Diceros bicornis minor: one gene and its partner. The protein of the gene in region 1 binds, or shares a complex with, the protein of each later gene. Links are inferred from orthologs where the notes say so. Each region holds a gene or a part of one and is shown on either strand. Other genes may lie near its edges.

What was found.
Region 2: the proteins of ERCC6L (region 1) and BEND3 are in contact, whole or in part, in a crystal structure (PDB 5JNO), measured with the Homo sapiens proteins. The link is inferred for Diceros bicornis minor from reciprocal best matches to the Homo sapiens genes ERCC6L and BEND3. Residues at the interface, in NP_060139.2 of Homo sapiens: Ala10, Glu11, Ala12, Leu13, Ser14, Pro15, Glu16, Ala18, Ala19, Tyr21, Leu22, Arg23, Lys26, Phe51, Pro52, Asn53, Glu54, Lys55; in NP_001073919.1 of Homo sapiens: Glu252, Gln255, Ile256, Gln259, Leu261, Asp265, Arg269, Val272, Gln273, Pro276, Phe279, Ser280, Phe335, Arg338, Phe339, Gln342, Glu346.

The regions. Positions count from the first base shown.
Region 1 is NC_080781.1:65,243,024-65,246,932, forward strand, and holds the start of ERCC6L (DNA excision repair protein ERCC-6-like), read right to left. Parts: upstream 2,685-3,909; 5' UTR 2,649-2,684; coding exon 2,581-2,648; intron 1-2,580. UniProt on the Homo sapiens protein: DNA helicase that acts as a tension sensor that associates with catenated DNA which is stretched under tension until it is resolved during anaphase. Functions as ATP-dependent DNA translocase. Can promote Holliday junction branch migration (in vitro).
Region 2 is NC_080762.1:27,688,167-27,692,075, reverse strand, and holds the start of BEND3 (BEN domain-containing protein 3), read right to left. Parts: upstream 2,312-3,909; 5' UTR 2,095-2,311; intron 1-2,094. UniProt on the Homo sapiens protein: Transcriptional repressor which associates with the NoRC (nucleolar remodeling complex) complex and plays a key role in repressing rDNA transcription.

The DNA of each region.
Region 1 (3,909 bases):
GGTGTGAGGGAGGGAGAAAGACAGAGAAATTGTTTGAGAGTAGGATTGTGCCAAGGAGCAGAATTATGAGCAAACGAGCAATAGAGAATGTAAAGAAGATGATGCTTTGTGCAAGGGGGTTTCCATGGGGGGAGATTTGGAAGAGGACGAGAGAGACTGAGAAAGATTAGGAGAAATAAATGAGGAATTTTGAGAGTTGAGAGGTCATGAGAGATGGGATGTCATGAGAGACAGAGAAACTGTGAGAAAGGTGGGGACTGTGAGAAAAGGGGGTGATTGTTGAGGGGAGTGGGAGCTAGTTTGAGAATGTTCAGGAGAGAGCATGTGGGAGTGAGTGAGGGACAGGTGCCAATGTGAGAGGCAGGGTTGAAGACTCAGTGCAAGCTGAGAGACCCACTTGCTTGCTCAAGGAAAGGAGGGGAGGGGACTAAAGGTCTTAAGCCTTACTATCCCCATTTTCCAGATGAGAAAATTCAGGCTCAGAATAGCAAGTGACTTGCTTGAGGTCTCCCAGCTGGCAAGTGGCAGAGCCATAATTTAAACCCCAAATGGCCCAACTCTAAAGCCAGTACTCTACCATACCACATCTCCTCCTTCTGTTTTCCCTAAGTCTTCCTTAAGGAAGTCACGTAACTTAGTCCAAAGATGTGCTTTTACTGCTCTGTAAGGTGACCTTTTGGCGCGCTTTTTTTTTTTTTTTTTTTTTGCTGAAGAAGATTGGCCCTGGGCTAACATCCATGCCCATCTTCCTCTACTTTATATGGGACACCACCACACCACGGCTTGAGAAGCGGTGCGTCGGTGCGCACCCAGGATCCGAACCTGTGAACCCCGGGCCACCAAAGCAGAGCGCACGAACTTAGCCGCTACACCACGGGGTCGGGTCCACCTTTTGGCTTTTAACAGCCTTAAAACATTATCTTTTTGAAAAGGGAGACAGAATTATTCCACTGTCCCAATTTATTTCTTTGTACTACATCAAAATTTAAAACTTCTGGGCATCAAAGGACACAATCAACAGAGTGAAAAGGCAACCTACAGAATGGAAGAAAATATCCGCAAATCATATACCTGACAAAGGGTTGATATCCAGAATATATAAAGAACTACAACTCAACAACAACAAAAAACCCCGACTAAAAAATGGGCAAAGGACTTCAGTAGACATTTCTCCAAAGAAGATATACAAATGGCCAATAAGCACAGGAAAAGATGCTCAACATCACTAATCATTAGAGAAATGCAAATCAAAACCACAATGAGATAACACTTCACTATCATTAGGATGGCCAGTAACAACAACGACAAAAAAAACCCAGCAAAAATTAGTGTTGGCGAGGATGTGGAGAAATTAGAACCCTTGTGCACTGTTGGTGGGAATGTAAAACGGTGCAGCTGCTATAGAAGACAGTTCCTCAAGAAATTGAAAATAGAATTACCATATGATCCAGCAATCCCACTTCTGCATATATATCCAAAAGAATTGAAAGCAGCAGATATTTGCACACCCAAAGAGATACTGCAAACTCGAAGAGATACTTGCACACCCATGTTCACAGTAGCACTATTCACAACAGTCAAGAGATGGAAGCAATCCAAGTGTCCATCAACAGATAAATGGATAAACAAAATGTGATATATGCATACAATGGAATATATATGCATACAAAGGAAGGAAATCCTGTCACATGACACAACATGGATGAACCTTGAGGACATTATGCTAAGTGAAATAAACAAATCACAAAAAGACAAATACTGTAAGATTCCACTTACATGAGGTCCCTAGAGGAGTCAATTTCAGAGACAGAAAGTAGAATGGTGGTTGCCAGAGGCTGGGGTAGGGGGAATGAGGAGTTGTTTAATAGGTACAGAGTTTTAGTTTTGCAAGATGAAAAGAGTTCTGGAGATGGATGGTGGTGATAGTTGAACAATGTTAATGTATTTAATACCACTGAAGTGTGCACTTAAGAATTGTTAAGATGGTAAATTTTATGTTGTACTTTATCACAATTAAAAAAATTTTTTAAATGCTCTTTCCATCACCATGCCCCCCACCCTTGGCCGTCTGGTGACTGCTTACTCATTTTTCAACACAAATGTCTCCTCCCCTTTGCTCACCGACCCTTGTAGTTGGCCATTTCCTCCTTTATGCCCATACCGTGCCTTACACATTATACCTCTTACAGCACCTGTCAAACCTCATAGCGATTATTGGTTTACCTATCCCTTTCCACTACTAGATTATAAGCAATTTGGGGACAGGGACAGTGCTTTACTCATCTCTGTAGTTTCTAGGCCTGGGGCTTGATAGGCTGTAAAGAATCAAGAAAGGCTTGACTAATTGAAGTTCTGGCTCTTAAGGAGTTCATGCTGGAGAGTTATTTGACCAAAAACGGGGGCATCAGGGAGCTCCCCAGGCTTTAGAAATCTAAACAGAGTCCCACGCCCTACTCCGAGAATGTGGGCGAGCGTCTCACAACGCTCCGTCTGAGCAGTTTGGGCCCCTGGGAGGGTCCGAGGGCCCCCCACTCCCGGCCAGGGCCTGCGGCCTAGACCAGCCCAGCGGCCCAGACATACCTCAGGTAATGGGCAGCCTGCTCTGGGCTTAAGGCCTCGGCTTCCGCAACCCCTCGGGACGCCTCCATGACCCTCACTCTGGGTTTCTGTATCTCGGCCGGAGATTGAATTTCGCTCGCTCCCGCCCCGCGCACGCGACGTGCGCACGTACGCTGGGCAGGGCCAACCGTCGGCCTCGCAGCTGGCCAATCCGCAGCCCCGCACTCCGGCGCCATCGCCTGAGCCCCGCCCACGAAGGTCGCGCGCATGCGTCTACGCGCGCTGGCGCTAAGAGGCAGTCGCGGCTCCCGTGGTTAGGGGTGTTGCGTCATTTTGTTTTCTGTTGCGTTTTCATTCCGATCCAAACTCTGCTACTGCAAATTCGTGTGTGTGCTGTCCTCGTGCGTGGAGTAGACTGCTTGATATGATCTCATTTTAGTGGCCCTTAGAGACCTCCTCCAGAGGCTGCGCCCCAAATATCTTCCTTTCCCTGCTCGCCAATGCCTGAGCATGCTTTGAATTCAAACATGGGAGGCATAGTCCCTGTGACTTAAACTCACACTGAAGAAGGGTCTTCAAGAACCAAGCCAAAGCTCTCATTTAAGAAATAAATAGTGCTGCGGTGCATGGTCACCAGTTCAGAAGCTCCAACCGAGCTGCAGTCATATTTTCAAAGGCAGACCTCAGGGCTTCAGGAAACGAGGTGATGGAGTTTAAGTGGCTTGCTTGGGTGATGCTAAATAGGAGGTTGTGGGCCAACAAAAATTGTCCTTGTTCATATACTAGTAAGAACAGGGACATTATGCTTCCTCAAGGCACTAATTAACATTCAGCATTTGAAAACTCACCTATTGGCCCAGTCATATGCTACCGTACATCCAGAGCACTTTAAGCTTTTTGTAAATTTCATAGACCGTTAGGAGTTAAAAAGGGATCTTGGAGAAGATGGGCTATTTTCCTGGTTTATATCACTTTAAATCATGTGTTCACATGGCTTTAGGCTCTCTGTTAAAAGGGCTTTTGGTATATTACCATTATTCCTATTTTTCAGACGTCAAAACTGAGGCTCAGAGAAAGAAAGTGACTTTGCCTAAGGGAAATGTCAGAGCCAGAATTCAATAACAGGTCTATATGGACACAAATCCGTACTTGTTCACTGTGTCACACCGTCTGTTGCTGGAAAGAAGAGGGAAGTGGTGGGAAATGAGATTGATGAGGTAATTGGAGGCCAGTTTGTGAAGGAGCTTGTTAACATGCTGAAGTGTTTACATCACTTCTTTTCCTGGAGGCAAGTTTGGCGTGGGGTGGGTCGAATGTGCAGGTGCCCTGGATACCCGAAGGATGAATGTG
Region 2 (3,909 bases), on another chromosome or scaffold:
AGGTATTTAAAAGTCACAGCCCCAAATTTTTCATCATGGTGTCAATACAATTCATAAAAGCCCGTTTCTTTCCTCATTGCTTCTGGGGCTTTCTAGACAGCTCTAAAAAGTGGCAGGCAGGACATTCCTGCAGGAGATTAAATTTTTACCAGAATCATATCTCTGTCAGGGTTAACTCCAATTCTTCTCTTCCTAAATATAAGACATTCTGCTATTCCTTTGCTCCTGTAAGAAATGCTTAGGAACTTAGAAGTAACCAAAAGGAAATGTGTGAAAAAAATGTTGCAATGTGGTTCCGTCTGACAGATTATTGCGATGCTGACTATCTCGGTTACTAGGTCCTAACCGGGCCCTCTTCTTGCCATAACTAATGCTTTGTGTATGGTGGGGGAAGAGAAGGACATAAAATTTTTCTTTTATATTACTTCCACAAGGAGACGGCGTCTCTGGTAAAACCCACCCTCAGCGGCATTTTGACAGATTTTAAAGGCTCTGGTTGTACCCGTGAATTTCATTTCAAGGGCCACGCACACACCAGCTAACTCACTAGTAGGAACAGGCTGCACTGACCCCACCTTTCTTCTGGAATCCAAGAGGCTCTCCATTCATTTAGTAAATATATTTATTGAGCACCTACTAAGTTATCAGACACTGGGGTCGTAGCCGGGGATGTAAAACTGTAAAGAAGATACAAAATCTTGCGTAAATCTCAGCACTGAGGGTGAGGGAAGCTGACAGGGTCCTGTGTGGTGATATGAAACGGGAAACTAGGGATGGGTGGTTAAAGAAAAAACAGAAAACTGAGGGGGTGGGCGTTAGGAGTGTGGATAACAAAAGGATCTCCTCCATCTCTCTCATTTACATACCAAGCTAGCCCGGGAGCTCACTTCCTAGCCTCAGTCTCCTGCAGCGGTAGCTTGCTGGCACTCTACGCGTTGCCCTTATCACGTTAAACATTCAAAAGTTACTTTAAGAAGGTGAAGTTGAAAATTTTCCGCCTCTGAAGTGCTAGCCCTATTCCGCGCACCCTTTTTAGGTTAGGTTAGCTTTTGCGTGTAAAATCCTTCCAGACAGACCACCGAGCATTCAAACTCGTTTACCTCTGTAAAAACACCTTGTAAAAAATATATATGCATCGGCACACAAGGCCCTCCCGAGTGCTGCGGCACGACGCGCCGGTAAGGCGAGGGCAAGCTCTGCCCTCGTTTCCTCGTGGGAAACCACGTTTGAAATAAAGAGAGGAAGGGGGCAGTCACGAGGGGCGGCGAGCGCCCCGGGCCCCGGCCCCGCGGCCGGCCGGGAAGGCCTCGCGCCAGCCGGGGTGCACACCCAAGGCGCCGGGCCCGCCTCCAGCTCCCGGGCAGCGGGAACCGCGAACCGCGCCGTGGACGGCGGGGAGGGAGCGCTGCGCCCCCTGGCGGCGGGGTCCGTCCCTGTCTGCTCCCGGCCGCCGCCGCCGCCGCCGCCGCCGCCGCCGCCGCCGCGGGCCTGCCTCGCTCCATTTGCAGACTCGGGAGGTAGCGTCCTCCGAGCGGCGGCTCCTCGGGCCTCCCGCTCCCCGCTCGGCATCTCGCTCCAGTCCCCGCCCCCTTCTCCTGCCCTGACACCCCCTGCTACACGCCGAGCCGTCCCCAACGCAGCCCGGCCGAGCGCGAGCGCCGAGCCCACCGCCGGCTCCGCAGAGCCTTCCGCCAGCCCCGGCCGCTCCATCGCGGCGCCCGGCGGGGGTGCGGGGTCGGCGCGCGGCGCGAGTGGGGCGGGCGGCGGCGCGGACCGTTCCACTCTGCGTCCCCCCCGCCCCCGCGCGGCGCGCGTGCTCCCCGGAACGCCATGGAGCCGCCGCGCTCGGAGCGGGCACAAAGGGGCGCGCGGCACAATGGGCGCGGCGAGCCCGTGGGCGCCGGGCGCCCGCTCCGGCGGCTCGGCCCCGCGCGGGGGTGGGCGCTCCTCCCGGCGGGCGCGCTCTGGGCAGCCCCCCTTCGCGTCCCCTCCCCTGCTCCCGCCCCCACCCCGGCATGGATGTTGCAGCCACTCTCCCGTCCGGCCGCCCCGGAGCCGCCGCCGCGCGGCCGGCTTGATCCGCCCCGCACTTACCTGGGACACGAGTTCTGTACTTTGCCGAGCGGGCCCGCGCCGAGTTTGGGCGCCACGTGGGGGGGGCGGGGGAGCGCGAGGCCGGGGAGTGGGGGCCGCGCGCGGAGGGCCTGGCGGGGCGGCCCGGGGAGTTGCTGGGGGCGGCGGGCGGGCGCCGTGTATTTTCCCCTCTCTTTGTGTGTGTCCGTGCGCTGCGCTCTCGCGTGACGTGACGGGACTCCGTGTGTCATTTCCGCACAAGGACACAGGAGCCCCCGCTGCAGTGGAACCACAACCCCTCCGCCCCCACCCCCGGCCCGCCCCTCCCCCTCAGCGGGGCACACGCGGGACCGGCGGCGGCGCTCGGGCGTGAACGGCCGCGGCGGGGAGCTGGGGCGCGCTCTCCGGGGCCCCGGGCGGCCCGGCGCGCTCGGCAGGCGCCGCGCAGCTCCACGTGGGCCCGCGCCGGCTGCCCGGGGTGGGGGCGGCGGCCGCGCACCCACGGCGCGGCGCGCAGCGCCGGCTCCCGGTGTCCGGTGCACGCCGTGTGTCCTCCCCCCGCGAGTTGTTTCCCTAAAACGTGGTTTCTCAGACCGGAGGAGTTTGACCTGAAAAGCCTCTTTTTCTACTTTTTTTCCTCCGCGGGACGGCAGTGTGCGGGGCGTCTCCTCCTCTGGCGCCCGCGCCTCTCCCGCATTTTTGGCATCTTGGCCGGCCCCCGGCCCCGGGCGGGTGTTCCCGCGCCGCGCTCGGCACAAAGACATCGGGGCGCAGGGCCCCGGGTGGCCCCGCGGCACCGGCATGGAGTCTGGCGGGCCGCGGGAGAGCGACCCCGGCGCTGGGAAACGCTGGCTCTGGCCACTCCCCCAGCACGGTGGCCGCCCTGTGTTGTAAGCCTGAGAGCTAAAAATCTGCCTTCTACTTGTAACCCGAAGTTTTGAGGTTTGAGGCTGCAGAGCGAGGATTCAGAAGTGCGCGCGCTCACAGACCCACATGCCACAGACCAACCCACGGGATATCTGCGCCGAGCGCTTAAAATAGAAAAACACGAGTCACCAGCTCAAAGGCTGATTCTTTCTACTCCTGACTCCCAGACTGGAGATTCCAAGTTGATAAATACGAAACCCCCCCGCTCGGGGATTTTTTTCAAGTCTCAGTGACATGAAGGGGTGTGGTGTTTGTGAGAGTCAGGGAAGCTCAATCCAACAGTTAAGCCACGTCTATATTTTGGGCAAACAATGAAAATGTAAATTAAAAAAAATCCTTTAACTTGCCGATCGAAGAAAATATAAAAAGAAAAATGCAAATGAGCCCATCTGCTGCTCACAGCTGACTGGCTGCAAGAGGGGACCATGTGGCCCAGCCCTGCGCGGTCAGTGAATAGGTAGAATAGATTTTAAAAGAAGGCATATGCTAGCTCCTTGCTGCCCAGTCGCGGGGAGGGTTTGAATTAACGTATAGTTTTGGGTTACCGTATCCTCCAGACCACTCCAGTTGGGAATTTAGTAATTATGCAAGTGCCTCCCCTTCGGGGCTAAAATCAAAAGGCACAAGGTTATCTAAGACTTTTGAGGAACTACGCGGAACATTCTCGAATTGTATTTGGATAGCCCATTTGAGAAGTCAGTACTAATTGCTATGCAAAATTAGCAAGCAGCCGGGAGAACCGAGCCCTGCATCCAGAGGGTGTGCTTTTATAAAAGAATCCATACGTGCTCAGTGTCATTCAAAACAGGATGATGAAAAGAATGGGGCCAAGATAGCAGCCCTTCAAATTCAAAAGACTAGAGTCGCCCTATCTACATTTAAAATAGGGCGGAGGGAGGAAGGGAGGGG